2 linked regions of the Astyanax mexicanus genome follow. The protein of the gene in region 1 purifies or fractionates together with the protein of each later gene. This does not show direct contact. Links are inferred from orthologs where the notes say so. Each region holds a gene or a part of one and is shown in the gene's direction. Other genes may lie near its edges.

What was found.
Region 2: the proteins of snx8a (region 1) and fbxw7 purify together in Homo sapiens (affinity purification with mass spectrometry; 3 studies listed by BioGRID and IntAct, counting the BioPlex papers as one, with this or other methods). This does not show direct contact. The link is inferred for Astyanax mexicanus from reciprocal best matches to the Homo sapiens genes SNX8 and FBXW7.

The regions. Positions count from the first base shown.
Region 1 is NC_064410.1:56,334,759-56,351,326, forward strand, and holds the start of snx8a (sorting nexin-8a), read left to right. Parts: upstream 1-9,397; 5' UTR 9,398-9,470; coding exon 9,471-9,507; intron 9,508-11,659; coding exon 11,660-11,787; intron 11,788-13,646; coding exon 13,647-13,776; intron 13,777-16,568. Other genes in the region: ttyh3a (protein tweety homolog 3), read right to left, coding at 1,455-1,580. UniProt on the Homo sapiens protein: May be involved in several stages of intracellular trafficking. May play a role in intracellular protein transport from early endosomes to the trans-Golgi network.
Region 2 is NC_064432.1:20,339,756-20,356,611, forward strand, and holds the start of fbxw7 (F-box/WD repeat-containing protein 7), read left to right. Parts: upstream 1-9,068; 5' UTR 9,069-9,480; exon of another isoform or gene 9,481-9,494; intron 9,495-16,377; 5' UTR 16,378-16,455; intron 16,456-16,856. Other genes in the region: gpr75 (probable G-protein coupled receptor 75), read right to left, coding at 1-668. UniProt on the Homo sapiens protein: Substrate recognition component of a SCF (SKP1-CUL1-F-box protein) E3 ubiquitin-protein ligase complex which mediates the ubiquitination and subsequent proteasomal degradation of target proteins.

The DNA.
Region 1 (16,568 bases):
AGGATGAACCCTGGACGGGACAGGCTCTTCAGCTGATGTAGAACAGTCACTGCTACAGTATCTATTCAGTACCATTGCTGTAGAATCATGTCTTTAATTTAAAAAACAGTATCACTAATACTGTACTACCCATGCTTTAATTTCTTGATTTGTCCATTTATTGCAGGATAAGTCGATAATGGAATTATCGTGACAGATCTAAGTATTGTACATTAACTTCCATTCTAGGTTAGGAAAGTTTTTTTCCTCCTACTGTAAAGTTACCATTCTTGGGATAAGCAGATTGTGTATACCAGTAACAGCAGTAACTAGGATCTCTATTAAATTATAACACTACATTACCAACATATATTTAGTAATATGAAATTTTCTTAGAACTAAAATAGTGCTGAGCAGTATGACCAAATATGTAGATCACTGTATTTTTTTAACATTCTGTTGGTTATGGTATATCACTGTATTTTTATTATTTTATTTTAGTTTTATTTGTTTGTATAAATGGGCGTTTTTATGAGTTACTTACTCTATTGTTAGAAGTACATACAACATAAAACAATAAGGCTTTAAATTAAGGATTTAATTTTGTCTCACAAAATTACACAATATATTTAGAAATCAGACTTTATTAGCAGAAAAACAGCTGAAGAATGTAAACAATAGACCTTAAAAAGAGATACTGCAACAACTTTAATATAAAACTAAACATTTAAAATAGTTCCATAAATAGTTCCACTGTAAATAGACCTAAAATACTCAATGTTTAAGTACTCAAAGAGATATTTCTCAAAAGCTCTACCGCACAAGTTTAATAGCAATTTATAACACATTATTATTGAAGCCATCATAGACATAACAGTATTAAAATCAGTCAAAATTGCCTTCTTTCTCCAGTTAACAAATAAATTCAATTTCAAAGTTTTTGCACCAGAGTTTTATCATTTGTGCCGAATAAATGATTCTGTACACAGGACCGATTCTGAGCTCATCTGGGGAATGAAAGGAACTTTGAATGCCTTTGAACTCTTTTCTGAGTGAATAATTGCAGGTTTGCTGTTGTTTTTCTATTTTACTCGAATTAAAAACACTCATTCAGTGAGGAATAGCAGCAGGAGCTCCTCAGATAAAGTGCTATTCTCATTTTTCTCCAGGCAAGATTGAGTGTTTGACTCCACAGAGTTGAGGTACCATCACTCCAGTGTATCAGCTCGTTATGCTAACTGACTAACATTACCTAGCGAGCTGTATCTGCTTCTTTGGCAGTAGTGTTCTACACAGCACTCCACACGGCATCTAGACATATACCCATCACTAAAATTACATAATATCTGTGAAATATATGTATTAATACATAACTACACTGCAAATTTATCCTAAAAGTTATAATAATGACATATGAAATGTGTTACAGTAAACAAGAGCCTTAAAGGGTCACAGATACATTCTAAGACTCTTACCTGTTGGTAGGATGAATCCTCAGGTCGGAAATCACTGCTGGTTTGCTCAAACTGCAGGTTGAAGTGAGGAAGGCGATGAAGAAGGTTGACCCACCATGGTGGAGAGTAATTCACTACGGCGGCCATTCTCACCTACAGTAACGGAGAAAGACTTAACTGAAGAAGATAGTGGCATGGATGATTTAAGATAGATAGGATGGTAAAGACAGAAATAACAGCAATCTGTGAACACTCAGGTGTTCAGGCAGGTGTCCAGACCCTCAGAGTGCCCTTTCTTGACATCTGTTACATATAATAGCATGAATAATCTATTTTAGACATTAGCTATATAAGCATGATCACATTGCTTTAGCCATGATTGTGTGATAACCTCAATTTATTGGATTTATACACTGTGCCAGAAATACTTAACTAAGACTATTTTACATCACTAATAATAAGTATGACAATAGAGTAGCATAATTATGCTTTTACACATTATTTCTAAACCGTCATGCTAACCTGAAAATAAAGTCAAGACGGTAACGCTGGTTAAGCTGCTCGACCATAGCATCTTTAACCAGGGTCTGTTTTTAATTGATTTGTTTGATGGTTTAGTAGTTGGTCTACAAGGGTCAACTTTACCAAGCTAAATAACCATTATAACCATGTTTGACCAAGTTGGCTGACCAGTAAGTCCTACAAGATTGGCATGACCATGCTGGTAAAACAGCTGGACCAGCAAGACCAAGCTAATTGACAAAGATTCCAAACAGTACAGCTTCACCAAGACTAACAAGATCATACTGCTTGACCATTATGACCAACCTGACAAAGTTACATAACCACTATTATCAAGCTTCACCATTACCAGCAAGACTAACAAAAACAGAATGGCCAAATGGCCAAATACACCTATACACCTAGTTTACCAGCATGGTGTAATTTTTTGCTAAGGTTACCACTTTTTAATGACCTTGACCATCAAAGACCCAAAAGCTGGTCTTAGTGCCCCAGTATCACCAAACTAGTTGATGGCTTAGCTTTCAACCAGCATGACTATGCTCAACCGTGCTGGTCGACTATTGACTACAATGATAAACAACACCAAGGTGACCAAGGTGGTTGGACCAGTGTGATTAACCTAGCCAAGTTACATAACCACTATAACCAAGCTACACTGGGAAGAACTGGTTCACCAGCTAGTTTACTAGTATAGTATCTGTTTTTTGCCTGGGTTAACAGCTAAATTTCAACCAGCATGACGATAATAGTCTCAAAAGCTGGCTTTGAGCTGGATATTTCACTGGATGTCTTTTGTCTTTTGAGTCATTTGTAGTCTCAATTTCAGATCATCTGCACGTCCTTCAACACAATTTATAACAATAAGGCTTATAATCTGCAGTCTGTGTTATACATGTATATTGTAGATATTAGCAATACTATAGGTATCAATACATTACTTAATCGTTGTGTCAGCTTGAGATGGAGTCAGTCCAGTGTTGATAACATTGAAGTAGACTATGATGACTTCATTTTGGCTATGATTGCTCAATATGTCCCATTATTACCAAGCTAACTAATCGATCAGTTTAAACTTAGACCAGCAAAACCAAGCTTAACCATGCTGGTTGACTACTAAAATCAACAAGACCGAGCTACATAATCGCTAATAACCAAGCTTGACCATTACCAGCAAGACTAGCATGACCAGTATGACAAAAAGCAAATACATCATACCCTAAACTGGCAAGAACTAGTTCACCAGCAAGTTTACCAGCATACTGTCATTTTCGTCAGGGTCACCAGCTTAATTTCAACCACCATTACACTCAACAACCAGCTTGGACCATCTAAAACCAGCCACCAGAACAAAATCTGGTTTGGAACTGGATTTTCTGCAGGGTTTAAAAACTCCAGGAGGTTGTGGTGTCTCCAGGAGTGTTCAGACCCTGGTGAAAAATCCAGTTAAAGACCACCTGGGTCAAGTCCAGCTCCTATGCATGTCCTTTCTCGACCTGTACTACGAACAATATGGCTAATAATATGCAAGGTGTGGTTAATTACCCTAGCTAGGTAACTTTAGATCAACCTGACCAAACTACATAACCACCATAACCAAGCTTGACCATTACCAGCAAGAGCAACAAGACTAGCATGGCCAGCATGACCAAAATACAACATTCCGTATACTGGTAAGAACTGGTTCACCACCAACTTTACCAGCATACTGTCGTTTTTGCCAGGGTTACCAGCATAATTTCAACCAAAATGTCCATTAACAACCAGCTAAGACCATCTAAAACTAGCCACCAGAACAGAAGCTGGTCTTGAAATGATTTTCAGCAGGGTTTAAACACTCCAGGAGGTTGTGGTGGTGTTCAGGGTCTTTGGGGTCATTTGTAGTTTCAAGTCCAGCCCCTCTACATGTCATTTCTCACCATTTACTATTAATAATATGGCTAATAATATGCAATATGTGATTAATTAGCTAGGTAGATAAACCTGACCAAGCTACATAACCACTATACCCAAGCTTGACCATTACCAGCAAGACTAGCATGGCCAGTATGACCAAAACCAAATAAAGCATACTCTATACTAGCAAGGACTGGTTCAACAGCTAGTTTACCAGCATACTGTCGTTTTTGCCAGGGTTACCAGCATAATTTCAACCACCATGACCATTAACAACCAACTAAGACCATCTAAAACTAGACACCAGAATAAAAGCTGGTCTTGAACCATTTTTTCAGAAGGGTTTAAACACTCCAGGAGGTTGTGGTGGTGTTCAGGGTCTTTAGGGTCATTTGTAGTTTCAAGTCCAGCTCCTCTGCACGTCCTTTCTTGAAATGTATTATTAATAATACGATTAATAATATGCAATGTCTTATTAATTAGCCAGATATTAGCTATATTTTTCATTACACTGCCTTATCATTGTGTCAGCCTGAGATAGAGTCAGTCCAGTGTTGATAACATCAAGCGGGTCTAGAATGGCTTTGTTGTTCAATATTTCCATTAATTTAGGCTTTAAACAGAAGAATAAAGAGATTTAAGATTGAACTAATTGTGTTAAACGTTAGATATATCTCTATTGTTATATATTTAGCTGTTTATCTCCATTCGAATACTTCTAGGTTAAATGCCGGACCCTTTATTGTTGTTATTGGAAGCTAGCTATCTCAGCTAACTAACCTAGCAACGCTAGCTAAGCTAACTAGCTAACCTAGCAACGCTACTAGCTAGATTAAGCCCAGTCTAAATCTCAGCCAGCAATCAAATTATACACCACAAACCCGCACCGACACGACCCCAAAAAGCCAAGCCTACAAACCCGAATTGAAGGCTCTGCAGTCGGCCGGATAAATCCCCTATTCCTGCTGTTGTTTTCGAGCTAGTCCTGGAGATCCATCAGCCGTCTGATCTTCATGTTCAGCCGGGCTATGCTACTCGACCCAGCCGCTGTGATTGCCCGTGTCCGCCGCGCTCATGCTCCAGTCTGGCTCCTCTCTCTCTCTGGTTCTCTGTTAGTTTCTGGAGCTCCAGTGAACGTGGTCAGTATTCAGTCCACCAAACACGCAGATTAATCGATGTCTCCGCTTTCTGAGTCGGAGCTCCGCGGGTAAATCCTTTATCCAGCGTGTGAACCGCACCGACTGATGCCCCACACTGCAGCAGCCCCAGCCTGCACCTACCCACCGCACCGAGCCGCCGGGCGGAGGAGCAGCCGCTGCCTAAACCTAGAGAACAGGGACATCCAGCGGCCAGACTGACACACAGCACACCGAAGATCAGGTCACACACTGGACACTGTATAATTTTATTAAGGTGACATCATGTGTAAAAAAAAAAAAAAAAACATAATTAGTGGCCACGTAAAAATAGTAATTTTTCCAATGTGCCTGACATTTTCTGCATTCGCTTTTCCATTTCTTTGTACTCCTACTGTAAGTTAAATAAGTAATAAGTTAAACTAAAATTTTGGCTAAATGGTAACTTGCCCTGTGATACCCTGCAATGGGCTGATGCCTTGTCCAGGACTAGATAGATAGATAGATAGATAGATAGATAGATAGATAGATAGATAGATAGATAGATAGATAGATAGATAGATAGATAGATAGATACTTTAGTCATCCCGAAGGAAATTTAGGCATCCAGCAGCAACAACACAATACAATAAGAAACATACTCAGACAAATCAAAACACAGAACAATAGAAAATATTCCAGCCTGGTGTCCAATGATTCCTGTTAGGACCAATCACAACCCTTACCAGTACGAAGGACTTTTCTATTTTCTATTGATGGTGAGGTATAGACAGTTTTATTTGCCAAAGAATCCAAGCTATTAAAAATACAAGAATATATGGACATTATTATAGAGCTCTGGAGAAATTTCTGAATTAGAAAAAGAAAAGTTTCTGAATTAGTTTCTCTGATTTTGCTATTTATATATGTATATGTTTGAGTAAAATGAAGATTGTTTTAGTCTATAAACTACAGACAACATTTCTCCCAATTTACAAACAAAAAAAAAGTCATTTAGAGCATTTATTCGCAGAAAATGAGAAATGTCTGAAATAACAAAAAGGATGCAGAGCTTTTAGACCTCATTTATAAAGTTCATAAAGTTTTAAGAGTTTAGAAATCAGTATTTGGTGGAATATCCCTGTTGTTTAATCCCGGTTTTCATGCATCTTGGCATGTTCTCCTCCACCAGTCTTACACACTGCTTTTGGAACTTTATGCCACTCCTGGTGCAAAAATTCAAGCAGTTCAGCTTGGTTTGATGGCTTGTGATCATCCATCTTCCTCTTGATTATATTCCAGAGGTTTTCATATTGGTGAAATCAAAGAAACTCATCATTTTTTAAGTGGTCTCTTAGTTTTTTTTTTTTTTTCCCAGAGCTGTATATATATCATTAATAAGAGGATAACCCATTACAGATGTAAAGTTTTGTATGACCAGATAAACCCTGACTGAAATAGAGTGATGTAATTAACCTCTCAGAGCAAACCTAGCCCTTCGCATACCCACACACTTTCCTTGGTATGATCTCACACTATGATTAGTGAATATTAATAGAAACATAAATGAAGAATGAAGACAAAATATCATTATAAATGCATTAGGGATCTGATTATAGAGAAGTATAAATATGGGGAAGGAAAACGTCCACCAAACTGCCGGCAAGGCCAGACCTCTATACTTAGTTACCAAACAACCAAAACACTTCTTACAACAGAGTGTGAGACATTTACTCTGTGTTTCATAGAGAAGTTAGTGTCTGGGACTGGACATGAAGTTTAAGAATCTTCAAGACCTTCCACTGTACGTAATACAGTTTCATAGTTTCAAAAAAACAGCTGTCAGCTAAGATATATTTTGGTGTGCAAAGTCTGCTTTTTTACTTTTTACGGAAGGTAATAGGTGATAAGTGATGGCTGTTGTAGCTAATAAGTAAGCTTAAGCTCACAAATTTGCACTGTGCAAACTGAATGAAAGGCTTGTCATAGGATATCGGTATGTAAATTGAACATTAAGTGTTACTTTATTTCTTTATATTGTATAATTGTGAGGTGTTAAGATGGGGTTTAAATGTGAAAACTGGCCAGCATGGTTAATGGCCAGCATGGTTTTATAGGCACTATATTGCCTATAAAAGTATCTGCTGGCCTGCATTGCTGCGTTTGATGATGTGAGGCTTGGATAGAGCTGCTCGGTCATGTAAACTCTCCATTCCATGAGTCTCTCTACACTCTACTGTTGATGATCTAATCTGAAGCTACATGAAGTTTGAAGGTGTGTAGTGATGAACTCTGAAGCTACATGAGGTTTGGAGGTGTGTAGTAGTGATGAACTCTGAAGGTACATGAAGTTTGGAGGTTTGTAGTGATGAACTCTGAAGCTACATGAAGTTTGAGGTGTGTAGTGATGAACTCTGAAGCTACATGAAGTTTGGAGGTGTGCAGTGATGAACTCTGAAGCTACATGAAGTTTGAGGTGTGTAGTGATAAACTCTGAAGCTGCATTAAGTTTGGAGGTGTGTAGTGATGAACTCTGAAGCTACATGAAGTTTGAGGTGTGTAGTGATGAACTCTGAAGCTACATGAAGTTTGAAGGTGTGTAGTGATGAACTCTGAAGCTACATGAAGTTTGGAGGTGTGTAGTGATGTAGTAACTCTGAAGCTACATGAAGTTTGAAGGTGTGTAGTGATGAATTCTGAAGCTACATGAAGTTTGGAGGTGTGTAGTGATGATGAACTCTGAAGCTACATGAAGTTTGGAGGTGTGTAGTGATGAACTAATCTGAAGCTACATGTAGTTTAGAGGTGTGTATTGATGACCTCTGAAGCTACATGAAGTTTGGAGGTGTGTAGTGATGAACTCTGAAGCTACATGAAGTTTGGAGGTGTGTAGTGATGATGAACTCTGAAGCTACATGAAGTTTGGAGGTGTGTAGTGATGATAAACTCTGAAGCTACATGAAGTTTGGAGGTGTGTAGTGATGTAGTAACTCTGAAGCTACATGTAGTTTAGAGGTGTGTAGTGATGAACTCTGAAGCTACATGAAGTTTGGAGGTGTGTAGTGATGTAGTAACTCTGAAGCTACATGAAGTTTGAAGGTGTGTAGTGATGAATTCTGAAGCTACATGAAGTTTGGAGGTGTGTAGTGATGATGAACTCTGAAGCTACATGAAGTTTGGAGGTGTGTAGTGATGAACTCTGAAGCTACATGAAGTTTGGAGGTGTGTAGTGATTGGTGTAGTGACTCTGCAGAAAGTTGGTGAACTCTGTGCACTATGCTCCCCAGCATCTGCTGACTCTGCTCTGTTATTTCACACTGAGAGAGTCGCTGTCGTTCCCAGTCTCTTCCACTGTGTTACAATAATACTGACAGTTGGCTGTGGAATATTTAGTAGTGGGGAAATTTTACTACTGGACTTGTTGCACAGGGGCTGCATCCTATCACGGTAACACATTTATAAGGACAATAACCCTACACCATGAGGGTGAAGACCAGCACATGCCTCCTCCAATACATGTGAAGTCAGCCACTGCTTCCTTTCTCGACTGCTGCAGAGTAGCATCACAGCACTCTTGGGAGGAAAGCTCAGCGACTCGGTTCTGATACATCAGCTCACAGACGCCTTGTGCCGATCGACATCACCCTTTGGAGTAATGAGGGGAAAGAGCATCATCTACCCGCCCAGAGAGAACAAGGCCAATTTTGCTCTCTCATGATTCATGACCAGGATTCGAACCAGCGATCTCCTGATCTTAGTGGCAGCACCTTAGTTTGCTAAACCACTCAGAGCCACTCGAAGCCCCACCACATACTTTTGCCACTCACAAAATATGTAATATTAGATCATTTTCCTCAACAAATGAACAACCAAGTACAATTTGTTTTGTCTTGATATTTTTTGTTTAAAAATCTGACTATGTTTTAGGTCATATTTATGCAGAACTATAGAAAATTCACAAATGAGTTCACACATTTTTAAGCACCACTATAATCCCATATAAATCTGCGTCCATAACAGAACAGCAAAGCGTTAAAGTCCACATCAGACCTCCACAGCCAGCCAGAGGCTCAGAAACAGATGTGAAACTGTGCAGTTGGTGGTGAGAGAGAACCTGCCACTGGTTCCCTCCCACACCACGACGGGGGAGAGCTGGGTCTGCTTTAAAACTTCTCCTCCCTCCACTGTGACGGCTAGCTCCGCCCACACACTTTCCAAATACCACACCTGTTCTCCGGCAAGAGGTGGGACTGCGTGCTGATTGGCTAGCACAGACCAATCGTAGCCCAGGGAAAGGGGATAGTCCTAGTGGGGGCCAATCCTGGTGCACAAGAGCCTCCAAGTGGAACGCTGGTCTACTGTTGTAGCCAATCCTCGCAAAGGGGGCGGGACCAACCTGAAAACAGGTGTGAAACAAATGCATATCGTTCCAACTCCAGGCAGTAGAAAAGTGCTGTTTTCCCTTTTCCTTCAGGAAATCACATGGAGGTGTTGGTGCACTCACATGACAGCCTGGACTATGGAAGGAGAGCTGAATGAAGGTAATTTGAGAAAGAAATCAAACTATTTTCTACAGATCATTTAGGAACAAGTGGTTCCAGACGTCGTTTGAGGTCGATTTAGGTCTTGGGCTTGGGTTTTTGGCTCGTTCTCGTTCTTGAGAAGAAGATATAACTGTCTGGTGGTGTTTAAATAAGACTCATACAGAGTTTTTTGATGGAAAAGCAGTGGAGTAATGGGACACTGCAGGATGTATACATCGACAGGTCTCACCTGTTGAAAAAAAAGGCTTAAACAAGTAGTAAAAGAGGTGCGAATAGTCTGTATAGACTGAATCCAGCTGATCCAGCTGTTCCAGGTGTTCCAGGTGTTGTATAAAGCAGTATCTGTCCAGCAGGGAACAGTTTGTTCCCACTGGCTTGGCTCTGTTTACCAGTGTGACCTGCTGGTTGTCATTCTGAGAGGGTCTCAGCAGCCTATACATGTTGCCAGGGTTTCCTCAGGGGGCATCTATGCAGGCTTTGAGTAAAGATGCGTTTAGAGGAATGGAAGGGGGGGGGGGGGGGGGGACACAGGGCAAATAGTGAAAAGTATCCCCCCCATAATAAAAGACAGAACGCCAGGAAACTGAGGACCTGTTGCGTAAGCAAGGATCAGGATGGAGGTTCAGGTCCTGGGCTGAGAGCACAGCATGGAAATGAGACAGACAGACAGACAGACAGACAAATTTGAGGTTATATTGGGACGCAGTGGTTATTTCTTTGTAGGAGTGTGTGTGTGTGTTTGTGTGTGTGTGTGTGTGTGTGTGTGTGTGTGTGTGTGTAGGATAGGCAATTCAAAGTGCTTTACAGAAAGATTTAAGACTCAGTGTAGAACAAGTTAAAAAGAAAGTTATAAAAAATTATAAATTAAAGGGAAAGAACTTACATTTAAAACAGAATGAAAATAAATAAGATTGGAAAATTAGAAATAAATGTAAGACATAATACAGAAAAAAATACAAGATATTAAGAACAAAAACAATACAAGAAGAAAAGTACTAACAATGTGAAAAGAAGAGAAAGCAAGATATATTTTCAGCTTTTTTAGAGTACCTTGTTTTTTCTTGTTTTAGTCAGTTTAATTAACATATCCAACATTATAGCATAGTTATGTAAATATCAACAAATCACACTATACAGATATAACCTCAATAAATAAAAAAGCTTGGTTTTAGTTTAGTTTTAATAAGAAGAGCCCATTCATTTAAAGAAGGCAATTGATGCTTGGTTTAATAACAGTGTTTTTGTGTTTTACTTATTTGGTATAACTTAAAACTATAATATAATATTAAGGGTCACAATTAACAATACTTACGACAGTAATAAACATCGTAAAATGGTCAAGTAGTGTAATCAACACTACTTATGACATTATTAAAAATGTCAGTGCTTACTAATGTCTTAACTAGTGTCGTTTAATAATTAGTTGAGAAATTCTGCCGTAAGTATTGTTAATTAATGTACTCTTATTGTAAAGTATTATATTTCATGTACTTTAGATTACTTTAATTTTAAGTCTCTGGAAGTTCATAATCCTTAACCATTCATTGCCCTTTCAATATAATGTATACATGTATTATTATGCTGCTGTAATATCATTATATCAGTGGCATAATGCGTCTTAAATTGGCAACACATTGTATTATCCCAATTATATAGCCAGGCCTACTTGTAGCTGTAGCTGACTTTATTAGAGATCCTTTTTAAACCTTTTTTAGTCCCTTAGTGGGGAAATTCACAGTATTACAGCAGCAAAGGGAAAGCATGGCACAAAAAAATATATAAAATAAATAGTACAATATAAATAATAAACAGTAAAGAACTCTTAAGACTGTATTTAAAAATAATTGCGCATTGCCTCTTAGTTGCACAGGGGTAATGGAGTAATGTTTTACATTATGTTACACTGAAGAAATTGTATTTTCTGTAAGTGTGTAACGTTTAAGTGTGTGTGTACTTCATGAATGAAAGGGCAGCTCCTCGTAATGTCCAAAAGTCATTACTTCTAGTTTGACTTTTACTTGAGTGTGGTTTTATTCTCCTCTTCACCTCTCTGTTTGTGTTTGGTTAAACTGTAATGTTACATATTGGTCAAAACTGTATGTTTTAGGGCCTGTAATATAATTATTTATCTGTTCTGCCTCAACCTCAGGATCAGTCCCTCTGTATTATCGAGAAGTGCATCAGGCTATCAGCAGCAGGACAGACGAACGAGTGCAAATCGATGTGTTCCACAGACTTCTCAACGGAACCGATCTCTCGCTCAACCAGCAGAACCAGGTTGGTTAATGTCACAGTACGGCCCTGACCACATGCATCTGGATATTTCTAAAAATATATGTGTTTTGGCCTCCTGTTCCTCCCACTGGTCACTGAAAACAGAGCTTTTACAAAATGCTCTCGGTGCAGGAGCTTTTTGAAAACTCACATATGATGAATTGTATATACTGTTCAATCACTAATATTAAATACTCTATTTACATTTAGAATCTGTAATTTCCTGCCTTATACATGTATAGTGCAGTAATGAGGGAGTAGTCTGACTGTAATTTGGGATTAAACCTCTCTGTTGTCTTGAAAAATAAATGCTGATATCCAATAATACACTTGTATATGTCTGCCAATGCTAATATACATAATTATAATTTACAAATAGACTAGACACACTGGCATAACTTTACAAATAAAACAATAAACATAAAAACAATAAAATAAAAGTTTTCTCCTAAAATATTTGATTTTGTTTTACATTGATTTAGCTACCTGGTCCTTGCATAGACTTCATAGGTTACAGCTTCAATAAACAGTTTATAACAGTTTATAATAATAGTATAGTAACAGTTATAATAACAGTTTATTATAATATTAAACCGTTTTTTAATTTAACAGGTTAAATAAACAATAGAAATATTAAAATTCATTTAAATAAAAAGCATGAATCAGGGCTCCGAGTGGTCCAGCATACTAAAGCGCTGCCACTATGATTGGGAAATCGCTGGTTCGAATCCCGTTCATGTAGCTTGCTGTCAGCTGCCAGAGCCCTGAGAGAAAGCACAATTGGTCTTGTTCTCTCTCTGGGTGGGTAGATGGCACTCTCTCCCCACATCACTCCTAGGGTGATGTCGATCAGCACAAGGCGTCTGTGAGCTGATGTATCAGAACTGAGTGGCTGCGCTTTCCTCCGAGCGCTCAGTGATGCTACTTGGCAATGCTGCATCAGCAGCAGTTTAAAAAGAGGCGGTGGCTGACTTCATCTTGCCCAAGGACTCTTATTAGTGTAGTGCAGCATTTTAATTCAGACCGGGAATTGAACCCCAGTACCATAGCTCCCTGGCAGGTAGTGGTGTTATCCACTGCACCGCACCAAACAACGAAGTGTTGGCCAACTGTAGTAGTGCGACCAGCATTGCTTTGTCTTTTTCTGGTATATAATAAATACATCAGCAAGTATTGATTTGAAAAATGTAGACATTTATCGTTCGATAAAATTCCAATATCATCGCACTCATTCTGTTCAGAGGGAGGGAAACATTTATTCTACTATTCACACTAGACCTCAAGCAGTTTGGACTGCGTGTCTCGCCACTCTTTCTCCAGACTCTGCTCCCTTGATTTACAAATGAAATGGAAAATAAAATGATCAGTGATGGTTTGGAGAGTCATGTCTGTCATCTGCTGGTGTTGATCCACTGTGTTCTATCAAGTCTAAAGTCAGTGCAGTTTTGTTTTCCCACAAAATCTTACAGCACTTCATGCTTCCCTCTGCTACTGACAACTTTTATGGAGATGAAGATTTCATTTTCCAGCAGGACTTGGTACACTGCCCACACTGCCAAAAGTACTAATTAATTTTCTGAGACACTGATTTTTGGGTTTTTATTGGCTGTAAGCCATAATCAACAACAATAAAAGAAATAAACGATGAATGAGTTTTACATTCTGAACTGAATTAGTGAAATAAAGTAACTTTTCAATGATTTTTTTTTGATGCACTAGTATATTGATGTAGTTCAAGACTCTACAGTCTAGTACTGTAGAGTCTACATAGTAGTGTGTTGAAAGCACATGAACACTTGTGACACTTTTAAAGGCTCTTATCTTCACTCCAGATAACAGCAACACTTCTGTCTTTCCTCCAGATTACAGAACATGTCGATAATGGCAACGGCTTCCTAAGTAAGGTATCCTTCTACAAGGCCTTGGCTCTGATTGCGCTTGCTCAACAAGGAAAGCACCCCAGCCCTAAGCTCCTGGAGCACTGCATACAAGGTAAGTAGCAGCCCATTTGACCTCTCCCGTGGAAATGAAATTCACCAAGCATTTTATGGACAAACGTCTCTCTGACTGGCCCTAAATGAATTACTCCATATAACGGGTCATGTGCTGCCATAGTGGGAGCTAGTAAAGGCACAGTTTTCTGCGCGTCAGCATTCAGAAGATACGTCATGCCTCCTATCATGTGCCTGAAGGTCCTGGAGTGCTGGATTCCTGCACTGTAAAATCTAATAGCTGCTGTGACTTTACCCAGTTAGCAACAAAATGAACTTCTTACTTACTCGCTGTTTTATAGGTTCCAGTTACTTGTATGGTTAAAATATATTTTTTATAACAATTAAGTAGTAAAAATCCTGCAATGTGAGAATGTTCAGACAGAAAGAGTGCGTAGATCATGTCTTTAAGTCTTGTATTGTGAACTGTTAAGTTGGTTCAGTTAAATATTGTGATATTTTGGCTGTGCCTAATGTTTGGGCAGCAAAGATTAAATGAGAAAACTCACACCTTTCCAATTGACCTCAGGCACCATCTATTTGCATAAAGTAGACAGTGACCGTCAGTGTGTAGTCACTCCTCTCCCACCTACGTCTAGGTTTACAAGTACAGGTTATGTAATGGTTGACTGTCTGGACTCTTAATGATTTTTAAGCAATTTCACTGTTGCAGACAAATTTTCAAAGTCGGGATAAAATCATGAAAGTCTTTTTCTTATCCTGGCGTCTTGAGACTCAGCTCACGCAAATAGTGACATTAACAATGTCAACAACCAATAGGAGAGCTACGGGAAGCCGCAAAGCAAGAACAATTTACGTGACTGTTTCCAAGCGATTTATAAAAGAACACATTTTGCAGTTAATATACCTTATATGGTTCTTACTTTAATATGTACAGTATTTTAAACACAGTTAGCACTTTTCCATCATTATATTTAAAATTATTTTGTTTTGCACTACTGTACAAGTTTAATAAATACACATTTTGCAAGAATGTTGTTCTTTATTGCATAAAATTGATCTAAAACAAATGTATAGCAGTGAGATTATGATTCTTTGCTATACAAGGTTGTAGCAAAAAAAGGGTTGAACACAAAATATATTCTATTAATAAAATATTAAGAACTAACAGTGTGGCAGAAAAATAAACAGTTGATGGGGACAAAAGTTGTGATTCTCTGATAAAACACAGTATTAATATAGACATTATGTGTAACTTAATACGTATTATGTATTGTATTTAAACTCCACCAGAAGCATGATGGGAAATCATCTCAGAAATAGTAATCCCCAGTCTTAGCAAAGTCTTGGTCTGTGAATAAAAAATCTGTGACTTGTCTTTAGATGTGAGAGGTTGTCGGACTTTAGTCTGTCTTTTTAAAAGTCTTTTTTTTTAGAGTTTTTTCAAAGTCGTGTAGTGAATGGACAACATAAAGCAGAGATATCTGAAAACCCTGAAAAAAAAAGTCTGAAGAGTCCTTCAGTCTTTCCCGATTCCTGGTCTAGAACGTTCTCACAGATACATTATGAGTTGTGTAATCATTGCTTTCACTGAGAATAAAAAAAAAGCAACATCTAGGTCAGCACTTTCTGTGCTTTAGCCTGACTGGGCTCCCACTCTGTGAGACTCTCAGCGTCACAGTGATTATATTGCAGGCCATTTAGTTTTGCTGTAAATTTGATATCTGCATCCTAAAGCCAATCCTAATGGTTTCTTTGGTTTGTGTGCATGTGGTCAGAATAAGAGTCTGAGAACTCCGTCTGCTTGCGTTTAAAGCCGACATTGTTCTGAACGGTGGCTTTTTTCTTCATCTTCGTAACCTCAAGCTAAAGCTCTCTTTCAGAACTGCATTATTTTAGGGCGCCTGGTGTTATTTCAGGTGCTGGCCTTGTGGCAGCTCAGCTGCGAGGAGCGAAAGCTGATGTGTCCTGTTTCTCCCTGAAGCATGAGCTTTCCCGTCTGTCACATGCCATTTCACTCCACCCAGGCCTTTGTGTGGAATGTGCCGGAGAAACCGGGCTTTGCATCACCAAACACAGACTCTGTGGCTGTTGTCTACTTTGTATATATTCAGTATATTATTCTGTGTATCTGTAAAATTTGATTTTTATTCATTTTGGAAAGTTTGGTAAAACCTAGGCAAAGTAAAAGATTGTACATTAATGTACAAAGAATCAGGGGATAACAGTATGTAAATTGAATTCCCGTGACTTGAGAATTCCCACACCTGTATAAGTTCTGAGGTGTTACCTTGTAAGTGAGTTGGAGAGAGGCCTAAAAGTAGGTATCAGAGGGATTTGACATTTCATATTGTTTGTCAGAGAAGGTTAATATTATTAATTAATATGAATAGAAGTTATTATTGGGAACAGACATGTGACTCAAGTCAGAATAGCATTCTTCAGTCTACATAAGACATTGCAAAAAAAGTCATGGGACACTATTTCCATGAACTACTTTCTGGCATGTAACTGTACAAGATAATAGAGATGTTTTTTTTTGTTATCTTGCCTCCTGTCCTCCTGTGTGGTATTTTGCAGAGTCAACTTCCTGACTTGTTTCTCCCGCCCTCAGAATTGCTATTATGTAACATTGTCACATGACTAACAATGATTCTGTGCCCAAAAATGTATTATATATGATTAATATATGTTTATTAATGTTATTTTTGTTTCCCCTATATTGTAAAGTAACACTGAAGTCATTCAAATTATGAAGGAACACATAAGGAGTCTTGTAATAACGTATTATTAGCTTATCCTGTGCAACAGATGTAACTCTTGCTCTTCTTT
Region 2 (16,856 bases), on another chromosome or scaffold:
ACACCCACACAGAAGGCAAAATCTGCAAGGTACACATACAATACCACCTTGGCCTGGTTGCCTGTGAGGCCAAAATGGGGCAGGCAGGGACCCGGGGTCCTGGGGTAGGCTCTCAAAGTGACCAAAACTGCCAGTGTGAAACTAGAGGTCCACAGCAGAGCGGTAAGCGCCAGAGTGCAAGGGAAGGAGGCAGTGTGGTTTGGCTGCTGGCCCAGGACCATGCGCAGCCGATGCAGGGCAATCACAGCCACTGTCTCTAGGGACATGATGATGAAACCTGAGCTGGTGAGATGAAAGGCAAAGCAAAAGCCCTTAGAGACGCTGCCACCATCGTCCCCTGCGTCCAGGAAGAGCACAAGAGCGAACATGGGTGCGGTGACACAGCAGATGAACAGGTCACAGAAAGACAAGTTGAGAATCATGAAATCAAAGTTGGTGCGGAATTTGCGGAAGGCGGGGTCGAAAAATGACAGGAACACCACCAGATTGCCATAGGAGCCCAGGCAGAAGATGACGATAAGGAGCATAGAGCAGGAGGCCAGTGTGGCTGTGTGGATCAAATCCCAGCCGCTGGGGGCTGAACCCTGCCCTGAGGTGTTGTTAAAGGCCTGGCGCTGTGTGGTGTCTGCCAGGTCCAAGGGCCAGGCAGTGCTGTTCATCGTACACATGAAGACAGGTCTGGATAGCAGGTAGCAGGATAGTCTTCCTACTTTGCCTTTCGCGCAGGGTCCGGCGAGGTCCAGTGTTCGGAGCTGTTTGTTCTCTTGGAGTACTACAGGACAAAGAGGGGGACAATGAGTCTAATTATGAGTAGGACTTTAAAAAGCTTATAAAAAAAATAGAAAGAAGACTCCTGTTGTTGGTGAATTCATTAAAGATTTTACAACAGAGGACACCTGAACAATGAAGGATCCTGGGCCTAATGGCATAAAGGCTGACACTGACCAGCAGTTTTAATGGTTGTTAATTTTGGTGATGATAATTTAGTTTAAAATCATAAACTGACTTATACCAGATTAAACTTTGGTCAACCAGATTAACTACCATGTCAAGATTGAGCTGGTAGCTGGTTTCGGATGGTTTAAACTAAATGGTTGAGGTGGACAGTAAAGTGGTTGTAGCTGGTCATCTATACAAAAACATACCATATTCTGGTAAGATAGCTGGGATAACCAGCTCCTGGCCAGCATAATTTGATTAGATCATACTGGTTGTCTAGCTTGATCAAGTTAATTACAGTTGTAGAACAATTTAACAAAAATATACCCTCTGCTGATCAGGAATGGTCAACCAGTCAAACTGTGGGCAACTATATTAACCAATTTATCCAGCTTGAGCTGGTAGCTGGTTTTGGATGGTTTAAACTAGATGGTTAGAGTGGATTGTTAAGGTGGTTGACCTTGGTCATCTAGAATAAAACATAGCATATACTAGTAGGCTAGCTGGTTTTCAACTCTTGACCAGTATAGTATGTAGTATGTTTTATTTGGTTGATGATTTTGGTCATACTGGTGCTGTTGGTCAATCAGTATGGCCAGGCTTGTTCATAATCATGGTTGTAGCCATCATCCCCCAAAAAATACCCTATGCTGGTCAGGAGTAAAACAGTTGTCAACCAGTTTGTTCAGGCTTGTGCTTGTTGCTGGTTTTGCATGGTCTAAACTGGATGTTAGAAGTAGATGGTTAAGATAGATGAAGCTGGTCATCCAGACAAATCATAGCTACCTTAGGCAGGAAGGCTGGCTGATTAATCAGATCTTGGTCATGATGGTCATATTGTTCATCCAGCATAATCAAACCAGATCATATTGGTTGGTCTGATTGATCAAAATTACACCCTATATTGAGTCAAATTGTGGTCAACCAGATTAACCAGTTTGTCCAGCTTGAGCTGGTCATGCTGCTTTTTCAGCAGGGGCCTGTCAACACAGAGCTGGGCTTTCATAACGCCCATTTAAACAGATACATAGTGTCGGAGGTTTTTATATATATCGCTTCATACGCGACCACACTACTACACACTGTGCCCCCCATTTATGACAGATATGCTGAGAAACAGCGTCTGAGCAGCAGGACACGCCATTATCGCTCCGTTTTCAGTCAGATCATCGGTTTTTGTGCGTGAAGCTCTTCTGCAAAATAGAATGACGTGTTTTCCTCAGCACTGGAAAAAAAGCGATTCTTACCGTGATGTCCCGCTTCTTTCCCATTTTCCCCCCGAGATACGGGTCCAGGTTTATTACTGAATCCTTTATTTCAGCAGGATGAAGGAGGAGAGGAGCGGTGATGGAGGAGAGGAGAGGAAAGCCTGTCTTTTGCTGTGAAAATCAGAGGAGGCGGGGTTGAGTGCTTCACTTCAGCCCTAGACCTGCACCCTCCGTAGTGAGCGAGCAAGTGAGGGAGCTATTATATAATAATAATAATAATAATAATAATAATAATAATAATAATAATAATAATAATAATAATAATAATAATGCTATAAAATAGTGCATTCCATACATTTACAGGTATATATATATATATATATATATATATATATATATATATATATATATATATATATATATATATATATATATATATATATAAATTCTATTACAAATTAAGACAATAAAAACAAACAATAACCTAACAATACAAAGCGAGTAACTGGAGCTCCTTAAATTCTAAAATTTAAAAGTACAAATAAAGTATGAATACAAATTCTGATTAATATGACAACCTAAAAGTACAAGGATAAAACCAATACAATTATATACGTTTAAATATGTTAACTGTTTTTTTTTTTTAAAACATTAACAGACGTGCTTGACGAATATCTTAGTAAAATAAAATAAAATAATAATAATATGCTTCATTTAAATAGCAGGTTTCATACATTAACAAATGAGACACAATTGCAGTTCAAAGTTTTCTTTCTTTTTTTTTCATTTAGCAAGCACACCACATATAACAATCAAGGGCATCCCAGATAAAAAAAGATAAGCAAATAAACAAAACAGCAGGAGAAATATAAAACTTTCTTAATTTTCAGTGGAAGTCAATGTAAAAATATTTTAGGTAATTTTAGAGAATTTCTATTGGTCCATTTATCAAGGAATGTTTAGACAGTGTATTAAGGGATTATGTGTTCAAATTATGTAGTAAATTTAAAAATCGACAAAAAATATTTTGTATTTGACAGCGGTGTACCTACACTGCAGTGAGCTTTATTAGAATATAACTGAAACATAACTGGATAGATCTTTCCAAAAAAAAATGAGTGTTCCAAACATACATGTTAAAAAAGATACAACATAATACACACTATATATATATATATATATATATATATATATATATATATATATATATATATATATATATATTAATATTGTGTACCAGTTCTGTTCTATATCTTTACATAAAAATATTAAATATTACACAGATAGATGTTGTGCAGCATTTTTGAATGATTTTATTATTAATGCAAAAAGGAAGTGACCAATTTCAGTATGACATCCTTCCAGGTTCTCTTACCGACTCGTGCTGCTGAGCTGTGTGACGTCCTCAGTGCAGACGTTGCGTCAGCAGCCCGGAGCTGAGTGTAGATCAGCCGGCAGTTAAACCCACTGTCCTTCCATATGTAAGAAAAGGTGGGTTTTTTTGCCCACCCCCACTCTTCAGAAATCTGCTGCCCAGTTGCCATGGAGACAGAAATACCCCGGCAGCCAGGTGTTGCTATGGTAACACCTGGGAAGAGAATGAGAGGAAGAACAGGAGGATGAAAGGAGAGAGGGAATGCTGAATCACTAAAAAGCTTGCGCTTTATTCGCTTTATTGCACGTCATAATCGGCAAAATACACATATGTATTTATTCATTTGTTTATTTAATTATTATAAATATGCACTGTGACAATAATTCTCAACCAATGTGTCCATTACCCCCAGTCGAAATATAATATATCCAATTTAAAGACCACACTTTTCTTTTGTTTGTTTCTTACCTACTGATCAGGCTCAAAATTATGACCACCTCCAAGTTCCTACACACATCAGCTCCACTGATCATATAGCACACTTTTTAGTTCTGTTATTATAGACTGTGGTTCTTAGTATTTTTTCTCAAAATACTGTATTATCTTCCTTAGTGGCACTGCTAGACTGGAAATGATTCACCAATCTGTTTGCAGGTATCGTCCTGAGGGCAGCATCCTGAGGGCAATGTTCTGTGAAGGACTAGTGGATGATCAACATAAATCAACATAAATTGTGCAGTAACAGATGAGCTTCAGAGTGCTAATAAAGTGTACAGCGAGGGAACACAGTGTTTAAAAACACTGAAACAAGGTGTTCATAATGTTAAGTTTGATCAGTGTATATTCACATATTCACTTTTTTTGTTTGTTTTGTTTTCTGTGTGTGGGCAGGAGTTTCTGCGTATACCTGCAGCTGCTCATCCTCCATCAGTTCTGAAAAGTGCGCTCAAACCTGGCTGTCATGTTGGGAATGGTTGAGGAAAGTAAACAGGTAGAGAATACCATGATCTGTAGATAGGAGAGCACAGTATGCTGAGCCTATTGCTCACCTGCTGCTCACCTGCCACTCTTCTGCCGCTCTCCTGGCACTTACCTGCCACTCTTCTGCCGCTCTCCTGGCACTTACCTGCCACTCTTCTGCTGCTCTCCTGGCACTCACCAGTTGCTCACCTGCCACTTTTCTGGCACTCATCTGCCATTCTTCTGGCACTCACCTGCTGCTCATCTACTGCTCTTCTGGCACTCATCTTTTGCTCACCTGCCACTCTTCTGCTGCTCTGCTTACACTCACCTGTTGCTCACTTGCCGCTTTTTTGGCACTCACCTGTTGCTCACCTGCCACTCTTCTGGCACTCATCTGCCACTCTTCCACCACTCACTTGCTGCTCATCTACTGCTCTTCTGGCCCTCACCTACTGCTTAACTATTGCTTATCTCATTTGGTGATATCTCTTCTGGTACTCATTTGTTGCTCACATGGCACCCTCCTGCTGCTCACCTGCTGCTCTTCTGGCACTCACCTCCTACTCCTTTCTAACATAACCCGAAAGCCAAGAGTATAAAACGTAATAGAAATTAATATTAAGGACCTGGATAGATCAGTAATTTGGTCATTTGTTCCAGCTGTGAAGTTGCTTGCAATCTTTGTGACCTTTGGGTGGATTCACACTGTCCTGTTGAGTCTTTTCCAGGAGAACTTCGTCATTTATAGTGATGGGTAACAGTGGGGAACGAGTAAGATAATTGTAAAGTGTGTGAAGTGGTGCAGAAGTGGAAACATTGAAGCTAGAGGGTTGTTCACTTACAGTGACAGTAAAGCTGTAACCAGCAGATGGCGTCATTGTGAAAGAAATAAATGGGCACAATTTTTCAATGGTTTATTTTATGGCCCACACTAAATAAAATACAGTACAGTATTGTGTGTATAGGCTTTTGTGTGTATAACATTCTGAAAATGTGACATAATTATGGTTTGCATCACAACATTATTAGACCATTTTTTACATTACGTTCCCAGCTAGACAAATATTAACGGAACGGTAACATCAAAAGTAACATTCACAAAATGATAAACATAAATGGTGACATTACCATGTTTTAAAACGTTAAATGACAATGTTCAAAAGATATTAAAAAACTTAACAGATTGAATATCCAAAGAACTTTAACTGTAACATTGAGAAAACATTCTACTAGCCAAAAATTGGTGCTTCAAAATTCATATATTTAACCTATTGTTAGTGAAATGGTAAAAACAGGAGGAACATAGGAGGGAAGCAGCATTTTTTGTTGTCACTGAGAAAGAAGTGAGGTGAGGGGTGGAGGAAATTATAATTAACAAGGGTTAGAGCTAAACTTGAAGACTGCAGGTTTTTTTTTTTTATCTTTTAGACCTGTGCAATTGGCCCTCCAGCATCAACTGGCTTGGTCATAATGTTTTGGCTCATCAGTGTACATAAATTCCATGAGAGACTGTGTTAGGAAATGTATTTATAATTGTCTGTATGAGGAGTTTAAATTCCTCACATTCCTCCTTTTTTTAGGGTCTTGCTATTCCATGACATCACAGGCTTCCTCTGCTCCCCTCCCTCCAAGCATCTGGTAAAAGATCGGACTAGAAAAGCAGGTTGTCTTCCAGGAAGGAACTTGAACCTCGATCGAGCGTCAGTGTGAGCCGAAGAAAGAGAGAGAGAGAGGTGAAGTTTGTGGAGGGTGAACAGGTCCGGCTGCAGGGAAATGTTCTGTTCTGTTTTTTTTTTTTTTTTTTTTTTTGTAGTTCTTTGTGTAGCGATAGCACTGAAAAACAGAACCAGATGGAACTCATTTGTTGTAGTTGTCCTCTCCAAGACTTTTCTGCTCTGTCTGGCATTCACTCGCTGATGTCTGATATGAGTTTACAGTATGTGTGGTGTGTGTATATGAGACTATACTACTATGGAATTTTATTTTAGCTTTTATTTAACATTTTTTATGGTCTTCATTAGGAATCTTAATGTAGATTCACTGCTAATGAAATAGTTTCAAAAATAGTTGCATTAGAAAAAAAGTGTGGGATTGTAATGCTATTCAGAAGGAAATTAAATGGGCAATATTTATTCAACTACACATACAGAAGTAGTCTATAATGCATGTGTTATGCAACATGTCAAATGTCTCAGCATGTAATAGAGTTTTCCATAGAGGCTCCTAAGGGTGTCAGGGATCGGCAGAACTATGCCCATGGCTCTTGTATCTTTAAGGGAAGCTCTTTAGCAGTATGTGGATGAGGATTGTCCTGTTGGAATAAGTACATAGGAGTGTGTGTTCAGAAAGGTTGGACACCTGTTACAGAAGCTTATTAATGCACCATTGGGCTGTCAAGTGTGTATATTATTTTGTGTGTATAGAATGCCTAGATTTTTTTTTCTCCAAAAGGTCTCAATTTTTTTTTCCACAATTGTTACACATTTTCACTCGGGGACGGATCTGACGATTTGGGTGGCCATGTCACAGTATCTGTGTCTACTGCAGCATTATGTAAATAAGCATTGTCCTTTTGAAATATTGTGTGTACTCAAAAATTTATGTAATTTTGGGCTGTCAAAGTGCCTGTAATCAAAACCAAAGGTGATCTAATACTGTACACAATTGCTAAGGTAAAAGGAAGGCAACATTAGATAACCAACCTGTTTAGATTAGAGGGGTAAAGAAACATCTCCTGTGTGTATAGAAGGTATGTTAAAAGGTACCTAAGATTATTATGAATATTCTTAATTATCCAAAGTCCTGTGCTTTTAAACCTTTTTGCATTAAACTGTCTTACAATGACAATAGTATTGTTTATGGCAATTATCTTTAGGACAATTTATCATTAGAACAAAAACATTCATTGTGACAGGCCTACTGTAAATACTTTGCACTGCTGAAGAGAGAATGAGATGGAAGATGGGTAGAAGGAATTATTTTACAGTATATATATATTTTTTTTCTGCTGGCCTGTCTCTGAATGCTGAAACCCTCTTTTTCCTGCAGGCCAGAGGCCTCCTCTTCAGCCTGGCTTGGCAGGACGCCAGTGTCAATTCTACGCTTCTCAGAAACACATTCTTTGGTGCTTCAGCCTGTTTCTGCTAGATTAAGATACTGAACATGGGAATTAACACGAGACGCCAAACAGCAGAGCAAGTGAGAGAGCCAGGGGAGCGGTACAGTGCTTAAAAAATAACCTCTTTTCCACATTGTTTTACAGCATTTACACCCTTAAATCTAATCCCAGGTAGCAAAGAACATTGAAGAAATTATTGTTGTATTACACCTTTTAATGTTGATATTGAAAAAAAACAACAACACCTATACAACCTTTATTTATAATGGACTCGCCAGTTTCAGTAAATATTACAATTCAGACATTGAATCAATGTTCATATAACAGGATAGGGGATTTGTGGGTGTCTTCTTTATAATAATAATGATGATGCAGTCCCTTTTACTGTTCCAATGCAGAAACAAATATAAGTAATAATGGTAGAATACAAACATCTTTAATGTTCACAAAATGTGAACAAAAATAAATCAGTTTCTAATGAAATTGAAAAATTAAGTTTGATTTAACAATCTTTTGCTAAATGGGCTAAAGCATGTGTGCACACTATGATCAGCCACTGCAAACAAACACACATACTCACACAAACACTATGACTAGTTGACTTAAATGAGTTTTTATGTTACAAGAAATAGTAGAATTTACATTTTAAAAAATGTACATGGATGTGGAACATAATCATCCATCATTTATAATTTATAATTTATGATTTAGAAAAAAATGAAAAAAAAAAAAACACACACACAAAGATTCTGCTTTACATATTTACTGTTTGGCAAACAAGTATTATCATTTGCATCAAAATGTTTAAGACAATTATCACTCTATCTTTCTTTCTGAGTTTAGTTTGTTCCCTTAAATGTGGGTCCACGTGCATCGTACATCACAACCCAGCGACTGCAGGTTGGGGGGAGGGGGGCGTGGTCGGGATCTGACCGACATCATCACTGTGAGCCTGAAGCTCTGGAGCTTGTCGAGTGATGTTTCAGTTTGATTCAGTTTAACGAACCGATTCTATTGTCGGGGTTGGGTTCGGTGAATCGATTCTATCGAATCGTTTTCGTTCCCTTCATTCAGATGGCACACAACATAACAAATGAGCAAAAGACTACGAATCAAAATCAAAGATACAAACAAACAAATGTAAAAATATATTGTATACTTATATTTCATATATATTTTATATATTTTCAGATTTGAGCAGTGAGTGTAAACAACTGCAAAAAAAACAACAAGCACAAAAGCATTGCCACACAGCCACTTAGCTAGCTTAGGGTAATTTATGGATTGTAACCTATGAAACATACAAAAATATTCTCTAAGCTAAGGGTTAACTATTTAGTCAACTTTTACTCTCGAATCGGTTCTTTTATTTAGAACCGCACCAGCCGGTTCAAATGGGCCGATTCGTACACACGACTCGTTCATTGCTTCAGTGTGGGTCTCGCTCTCGCGCTGGTTCGTGTATGTGTGTGTTTGTGTGAGAGTCGCGAGCGCGGAGCCTGCGGGATTCTAGCAGCACTGCACGCGGCGGAGATCAAAGAAACTCCCAATAAAAACTAACTACACTCCTCGGGAAGAGCCGCTCGAGCGCGGAGCAGCCTGAACCGGGAACGTTCGCGGTCGGCGTCCTAAACGCTCAGAAGAGGCGTTGGGTTTTTTTTTTATATTAGCCAGCACGCGCCGCTTCGGCTAGCGAGCGTTGCCTAGCTACGAGTCCCAGAGAGTGAACGCGGGGGACCGCGAAGTCGGCGCGAGAACCACCGGTACCGCGAGTCGCTCCTGGGCTGAGAGGAGACCCTGAAAACAACAGCGGGAGCAGAAGTCCGGGAAAAGCGAGCCGCTAGGCGCGCGGCGGACTGACGTAGCTTCGCTCGAAGGTGAAAACAGCCCGGTCTGTTTGTTTCTGTTGGTCAATTGTTGCTTATTGTTGGTAAATATGAGTGTAAGAAGCTGGCGAGGGACACTGCGAGCTGAGAGAGGCGAAGCGAAAAGCTAACTAGCTAGCCCAGCTAAGCTAATAGCTAATCGTTCATGCTAACGGAGAGAGGAGAGCGGCTATATTAGCCTGTGCTACCTCTGGGTAGCTAGCTAGCTAGCCAGTTAGCTTAGCATACCTATCTAATACTAGCTGTGTTGGCTGGTTAGAAATGTCTTTACTTCAATTTAAATGCACAATATCGTTAAAAGGCAAGCCTGGCCGTTTCAAAACCAAACCCATGTCATAAACGTATATATACTGACTTTGTTTCATAAGCCAAGTTTGCTTAATCTAATTTATCTCTAATGCCAACCATGCTAGCTGAAACACTCACTCCATAATTCCGCTATTAAAAGACATTGTTTAGTAATATTATCAGGTTTACATCTCTAGGTAATATCATTATTCTGACTAGACCTAATGTAATTTTATTATTCATATGTTACGAAGCGTTAAGTAGCTAGCTAAAGCTAGCTAACTAACCTACATTTGATTTAACGTTACACTTAATCTGAATCTTATTTTTGCTTAACCATAATTAACCACATACTTCTGCTTAACTAATAAAAATGTACTTGTAGATATCTACAATTACTTTAGTAAGAGTAGAAATAGTCATTTTAGATGTATCCCCTGTAACGCTGAGCAAAAAACTATTGCTGCACTTTAAACTTTAAAGCCCATAACATGATTGTTTTTATTAGCTTGTTTTGTTTGCAGTGTTTGTAAATAGGTTTCTAGGAACATGAGGCAAAAAAAAACAAACTTTTCCTTAAAAAATGTTACTTTCCTTGTTGTTTTCAAACAAAACCACTTGAACTGCATAGTCTGCCCAGGCCAAGCAGTTCTTTAGGGGTTGAGAGTGAAGGAGAGGTGGCTGTGGTTGACCGAAGATGAATCTCTTTAATTTACACTATCAACACGTTTGTTTTCTTCATATATTTCAGAAAACCTAACAAGTAATCTTCACGCATTAATAATGTTTTATAAAAAAAAAAACATGATTATTCATTATCCACTTTGCTCTGCATATTAAAACAGGTATGTGTTAATCATAGTTTAACGGTTTAAAAACGTAAAGCCGAAAAATAAAAAAATAAAATAAAAGTGTAACGTTAGTAGTGGAATAGTATTAAAACGTTATATATAAAATATGAATTATAAGGTATCTTAAATAACAATATATAAAAGCAGTTCAGTGTGTTTTTAGCTACAAGAAGTCAGTCAAGGACCATCAGATGATGATCTACCTAGTTTAAAGAATATCAAATTAAAACATAACTGTATTAGATAAGATAAGGTTCAAGAAATATCAAGCATTCGAGTGCTTCATTGACGTCAAATAACAATATTAAATATTATATCATAACACATTGTTTAATCTACACCAAAAACGAGCTTCCAATGTGGAGTTGAAGGCTGCATAAACCACCTCACTACACCGGGAAGCATTTGGTTTTGACTTGGGTTAGCTCCGTGGCTAGATAATGCTAAGCTAACGAGCTTGCTGGTGGCTAACGTAGCCAGCTATTGAGCTATTGCTATAGCTAGGTTAGTTAGCTTGCTTGTATAGCTAGCTGGCTAACCAGAGCGCCATTCTGCTTATAGCAGAAAATGTGCTTCTATTAATTTGGGTTGTTCTTTTTAATCGTTCAAAGCCATGTATAAATGTGGTGTGAAACCCATGGATAGTGGGGGGGGGGGGGGGGGAAGGGGGGTTTTCAGCTTCAAGTTCTGGAGAGAAGGTCTGGCTAGCCTGCTAGTTGGCTAACTACCTTTCTATCTTTAGCTAACTGGCTTTAAGTCCTCTGCCTGTTCCCTGCAGCTGGTGAATAACTCTGGTTTTGAATGCTCTGTGCTGTGAAAAAGCCAGCCTGTGCTTTGGCAGAAGTTTAAATAAAAAAAATGTTCAACTGGATACACACAACCTAGCTACATCTGTGACCTGCTAGCAGCTATCTAGCTGGTGATCCAGCCTGGAGCTACGTGATGAGCGTGGAGTGGCCGGCTTGGAGCGAAAGTTATTAACTATTCAAAGTTTGTGTTTGTTGTATTCCTTCAGTTCTGAGCGTTTGCACGTTTTTAAGGTTATTAAAATAGCGTTATAGCTAACTAAGGTGCACCCAGGGTTAGATATTGAAAGTTAACTTCTAAGTAACTTTCAGATCTTTTTTTCTGGGGTGCAGTAGTGTTCATCAGCTGGAGTTAACTACATAGCTTTGCTAAAATAGTGGTCTAGTCAAAGTGGAAGTTCTTTCTTTGTCTCCACTTGAGGATAATATTTTCCTTAATAAAATAAAGTGGTTTATTGTGGTTGTAATGTTCTGTTATCATTTTTGTAATAAAAATAATCAACTCATTTTAGGTGAAAAGAATTTTACTGCATCATTTCCAACACTTAGGAATTGGTTGTCCAGCATCTTTCTGTGAGTGCTGTACCCTGATTGACCTTACATTTTTCTGCCCACATATGCTGTAAGGAATGACTTACTCGTTATGTCATTTGTAAGCTGTAAGTGGAATAAAATAACTTGCAGTGTGTGACAGTTGTCTATGAATGTCTCATATAAGAGTTGCTTTAAATCTGTAACACTATATAAAATCAAAATAGCATATCTAAAATAATTAATACAATGTTTTATGTTTATTTGACTGGGCAGTTTTCATAATAATCAAGCACGGATTAAAGAAATTGTGAGCGTGAATTGCAAATTGTTCACTCGAATTAAAGAAAATGTCAGCACGAACTGCTATATGATTCGCTTGATTAAATATATATATATATATATATATATATATATATATATATATATATATATATATATATATATATATATATATATATTTTTTTTTTTTTTTTTTTTCTTTATCCACGGCTCCTCTTGGGATCCGTAAATACATACAGGGTGTTCATTCAACAGAATTTTTTTTTCGCTTGAGTCACATGTCCTTTTTTTAACCTTTTATAAACATATAGAAAGGGGTGGGCAATATGAGGCCTGTGTCTCGGCCTGTGTCTCGGCCTGTGTCTCGGCCTGTGTCTCGGCCTGTGTCTCGGCCTGTGTCTCGGCCTGTGTCTCGGCCTGTGTCTCGGCTAGACAAATTGATCATGTTAGATTATTCTATTTTCTTACTTCTGATATTCAAAATACTGATTCGGCCTCTAAATTATACAGAACGTTTTGAAAATAGGTAATTCATGTTTTTCTCATATTTTTTTTGTAATGAATTGCATCCTTAGGTCAAAAAGAAATGTGCTGTGCTGTAACAACTGCTTCTGTTGCAATTTAGCTTGTTATGAAATGTCCATTGCCTTTTGCCTACATGTGTTTATTATGTAATTACTGTGGTCAAATCCACTGTGTTCGTTCCTGTCCTACACAGCGCTTAAGGTGTGTGGCTTATTTACAGGGAAACACTAAGACCAGGGCTCAACTGTTCAGTTAGCAAAGCTTTGTCTGAATTCCGTTATACTAATATGGAGTATGTTTTGTGGAGCACAATATTCATCAAGCATGATATGTTTGTGATGTTTTAATGACCTCACCGTGCATCTGTGTGTGAGCAACATTAGTATGAACTAATGATGTAATGTTTCACCTCCCCCTCCTAACACCCCTGTGTGTCAAGGAGCTTGCTCACACACCCTCCCCGATAGCATGTTTCACTACAAAGTATGTCATATTATGGAAGGTGTTTTCTCATCTTATTGTGTCTGCTTACTGTACTCTGAGGCACTTCTACCCATAGTAGCTTTAGAGAATGAAGCTCGTCGGTTGCTGAACAGTTTGTGTATGTCATCTCTGGTCCTTCATCAGTAGTCACAGGACATTTCCTTCAGGACTATGCTGGTGGACTATTCTCTGCACGTGTACTATCGCATCACACACTGATATACTGACCCAAATAATAACTGCTCTGTGGTGGTCCTTTGGGGTCCTGATCATTGAAGAGCAGATTGAAAAAAGACGAAAAAGTATACAGGCAAACAGAATGACTATAACCAGCAAATATAGAACTATAAAAAGTCCTAAATGCTCAGTGGAGCTGGAATGGTGGATAATGGGTGTAGAAACTATATAATGTTATGCTTGATCAGTGTATGTGAAGAATTGCTCTGAGCTCCATTCACTTATGTTTAACGCATGTGTCCTGTTCTTTATTCTGTGAATATTGGATGAAAATATGAAAGATGAGTACACAGGTTGCAGGGTCAGTGATGTTGCTGCTGAGCTATTTACAGATGGGTGTTATGCATTTGCTCTTTAGCCTATGCAAATAATGCTGGGAGTATAATGCAGTTTGTTTGGTTTAGATTAGCAGTGTGGGTCTGTTCTTTGAATGTGTGCTGTGTTGCTGCCCTGTGGGGTTCCTGTTAGGATGCAGCGGCCAGAGGAAAGAGACTGATAAATGAAAGGAAGGAGAGAGGAAGTGAATGCTGCAGCAGACAGGAAGTGGAGAGAGTGAGAGAATACAGGACATTTAAGATTAGGGCACTTGAGTGCTCACATAATTGCTTACATTTATAATACCCAGTAGATTGAAGGTGTGATGATTATTTTAACATTTCAACCATATTCTTTTTAAGATGCAAATCATGGATATCATAATTGTGTAAAGAACACTGACCATGTTGTTCATTTTATAACAGAGTACAAAATCTAACTAGATTATGTGCAGCAAAACGGAATAAAAATGTGGTGCTATGCATGAAAGTGTTTGAATAGCAATTTTTAGTTAGTTAGTCTGCCATTGCTAATGCTTTTTGTTTGCTTGTCAAAACAGTGCTTCTATCATGAAAATGTCTTTAAATATTTCTCTGAGGAACCATTTTAAGCAGTTTTATTTTTAACAATGTGAATAAAACAAATAAATTAGTAAATGTAATTTATATCTCTTTGCACAGCATATTCAAAGGTACAAATTCACTGGTTGGTAGTTGACTAATCTGATGATTATTTTTTTATGATTAGTTGATTAGTCAGTGTTTAGTGATTAGTCAATGCCCCCCTTTTCATTTAAAATAGAAAACACCTAAACGTTGGATTTAATGCCCTGTAAGTACCCAGAATATGTTTAAATGTTCAATTTGTGTAACCTGTTATGTTCGGGCACCTTTGGAGACACAGGCCAAGTTAAATGCAAACTGTGAATTTCATTTTTTTTAAACATTCTTTTACATTTTTTTTATGAGCCATAACAGTATCTGTTTATGGATTTAGATTTTTTTATTTATTTCAAAATGCTTTAAATACTAGTCTCTACTTTTCACCCACTTTAGGGACACAGAGCCCCTCGTGCTCGGACCCCTGTTGGCCCCCTTTGTTGCAGTGTCATGGAAACAGCCCGTGTCTGTCGGCTGGTTAGAGCTCTGAGCAATGTGAATTATTTAGAGATCTCTCTCACACACACACACACACACACACACACACACACACACACACACACACACACACACACAGTACTTTCTTTTATCTGGACAGCTGATACCTTTTTTGCCATGTTTTATGTCTCTCTGTTTGAACTGCAGGTGTTTTATTGCTTTTACAGGTTATTGGTAAAACCTCAATTGGGAATGGAGTTTAGTGCCAGTGTAGACTATTAGTCTTTAAGTAGTCTTTTAATAGGGCTGCACAATGTATAATTTGTTAGTTATGGTGAAATCACATTAATTTAGAGTCTAATGCTGTTCTATATTGGTCTTTTTTGCTCAAGTCATTAGTTCAGTTCTATGTATTAGGAGGTATTTTATATTTATTGTGTGGTGCTCTCTAACTTTTTTAGGGTGTTCTATATGTTCTGTGAGGTATTCTGTATATATTATGGGGTATTCCATATCTATTGAGGCATTTTGTGTCTATTGTGAGGCATTCCATATGTACTGTAAGGTATTCAGTATCTACAAACTAACAAGTTACTGTTGAGTTCTGAGATCTATCTGTGTCTGTGTTTGAGAAATAGAGAGAGAGACGGGAGAGAGAAAAGTTAGGCATCATCTGCTTGACAGATTTTTTGCTGCTTTTGCTGCTTTTTTTTTTTTTTTTTTTGAGGTTAAGTGGCTTTAGTTCTGCGTATTTAATTCTTGATGTAATTCTGGTGGATCAGTTTTCCCAGTACCTTCCCATGGTTTATTAGGGCAAACTGAGCCTCGATTCTGGATATTTCCTTCCTGGGGGACCACTGGGTGCCAGCTGAGTGCAACTTCATGCCAAAACATTGAATGATGCAACCTAAATATAATAATGGGAACATTTATCGTTCTTATAACAGCAGATTATCTCTGCCTCCTCTGGGGAAAGACCTTTCGCAACCAGACTGTATCAGAGCGCTGTGAGAAAGTTTACATACACCAGTGAAACTGTCTGATGCTCACTTGCTTTCTCACTTGTTCTGAAATATGGCCAAAAATCTCATGATATTATTTTAGGGCCATATTTAACACTAATTGTATTCTTTTAAGAATATGCTATTGCAAGAAATGTTAATTTTATTTTATATAAACAGTTTCAGATATTCTCAGACCAGTAGTGACAATGGGGTGTTTAAAAACTCTAGCAGCCCTGCTGTGTCTCTCTCTCTCACACCAGCCATTGGTCCTGGGCATTTGAAGTTCAGGGGGAAGTTGTATAATAAAGCATGTAGAGAAACTGAAGGACCACAGACTGTAATTGTAGAACTACAAAGTGCTCTATTTATCATTAGTGCTGAACAATGGACAGTGTCATGTTATGCTTGACCAATGTATATTCTCTACTTAGGAAAATTAAACTCTACATTGTTGTATGTCTGTTTCTAGCTTTGCTGAGCCAGAAGCTAGCTGTAGAACCAGCCCTGGTGAAAGTCTGGTGGCCACCTGTAAGTAGCTGAGCATCTGGTAGGTTAGTTAAAGTGCCTTAAGGTCTATTAGTGTGGATTAACCTACAGACAGAGAGAGGGCAGGTCTTACGGTGGATAAAACATCTACTGTCTGTCTATCTCTCTCTGTCTCTCTCTGTCCTGCCAACTTTCTCCCTGTCTGTCTCTTGTTCTTCATCTCTACCTCACTGTAACACAGGGTAACCATATGTGTTCTAACTTATCCTCATTAGCAGGTAAGCAGTATTAGAAAAGGTCCAGGCACTCCATTACTGTTTTTAAATGTACTGGACCCTGAAGCAGCTGCTCCTGACAACAGGGCTGTTGTTTACAATATCAGCAGTCTTTAAAGGAGACTCCTCCTTGTCCTCTTTGTACTAATGAGATCTCAGAGATCTATTGATATTTATATATTGGCCC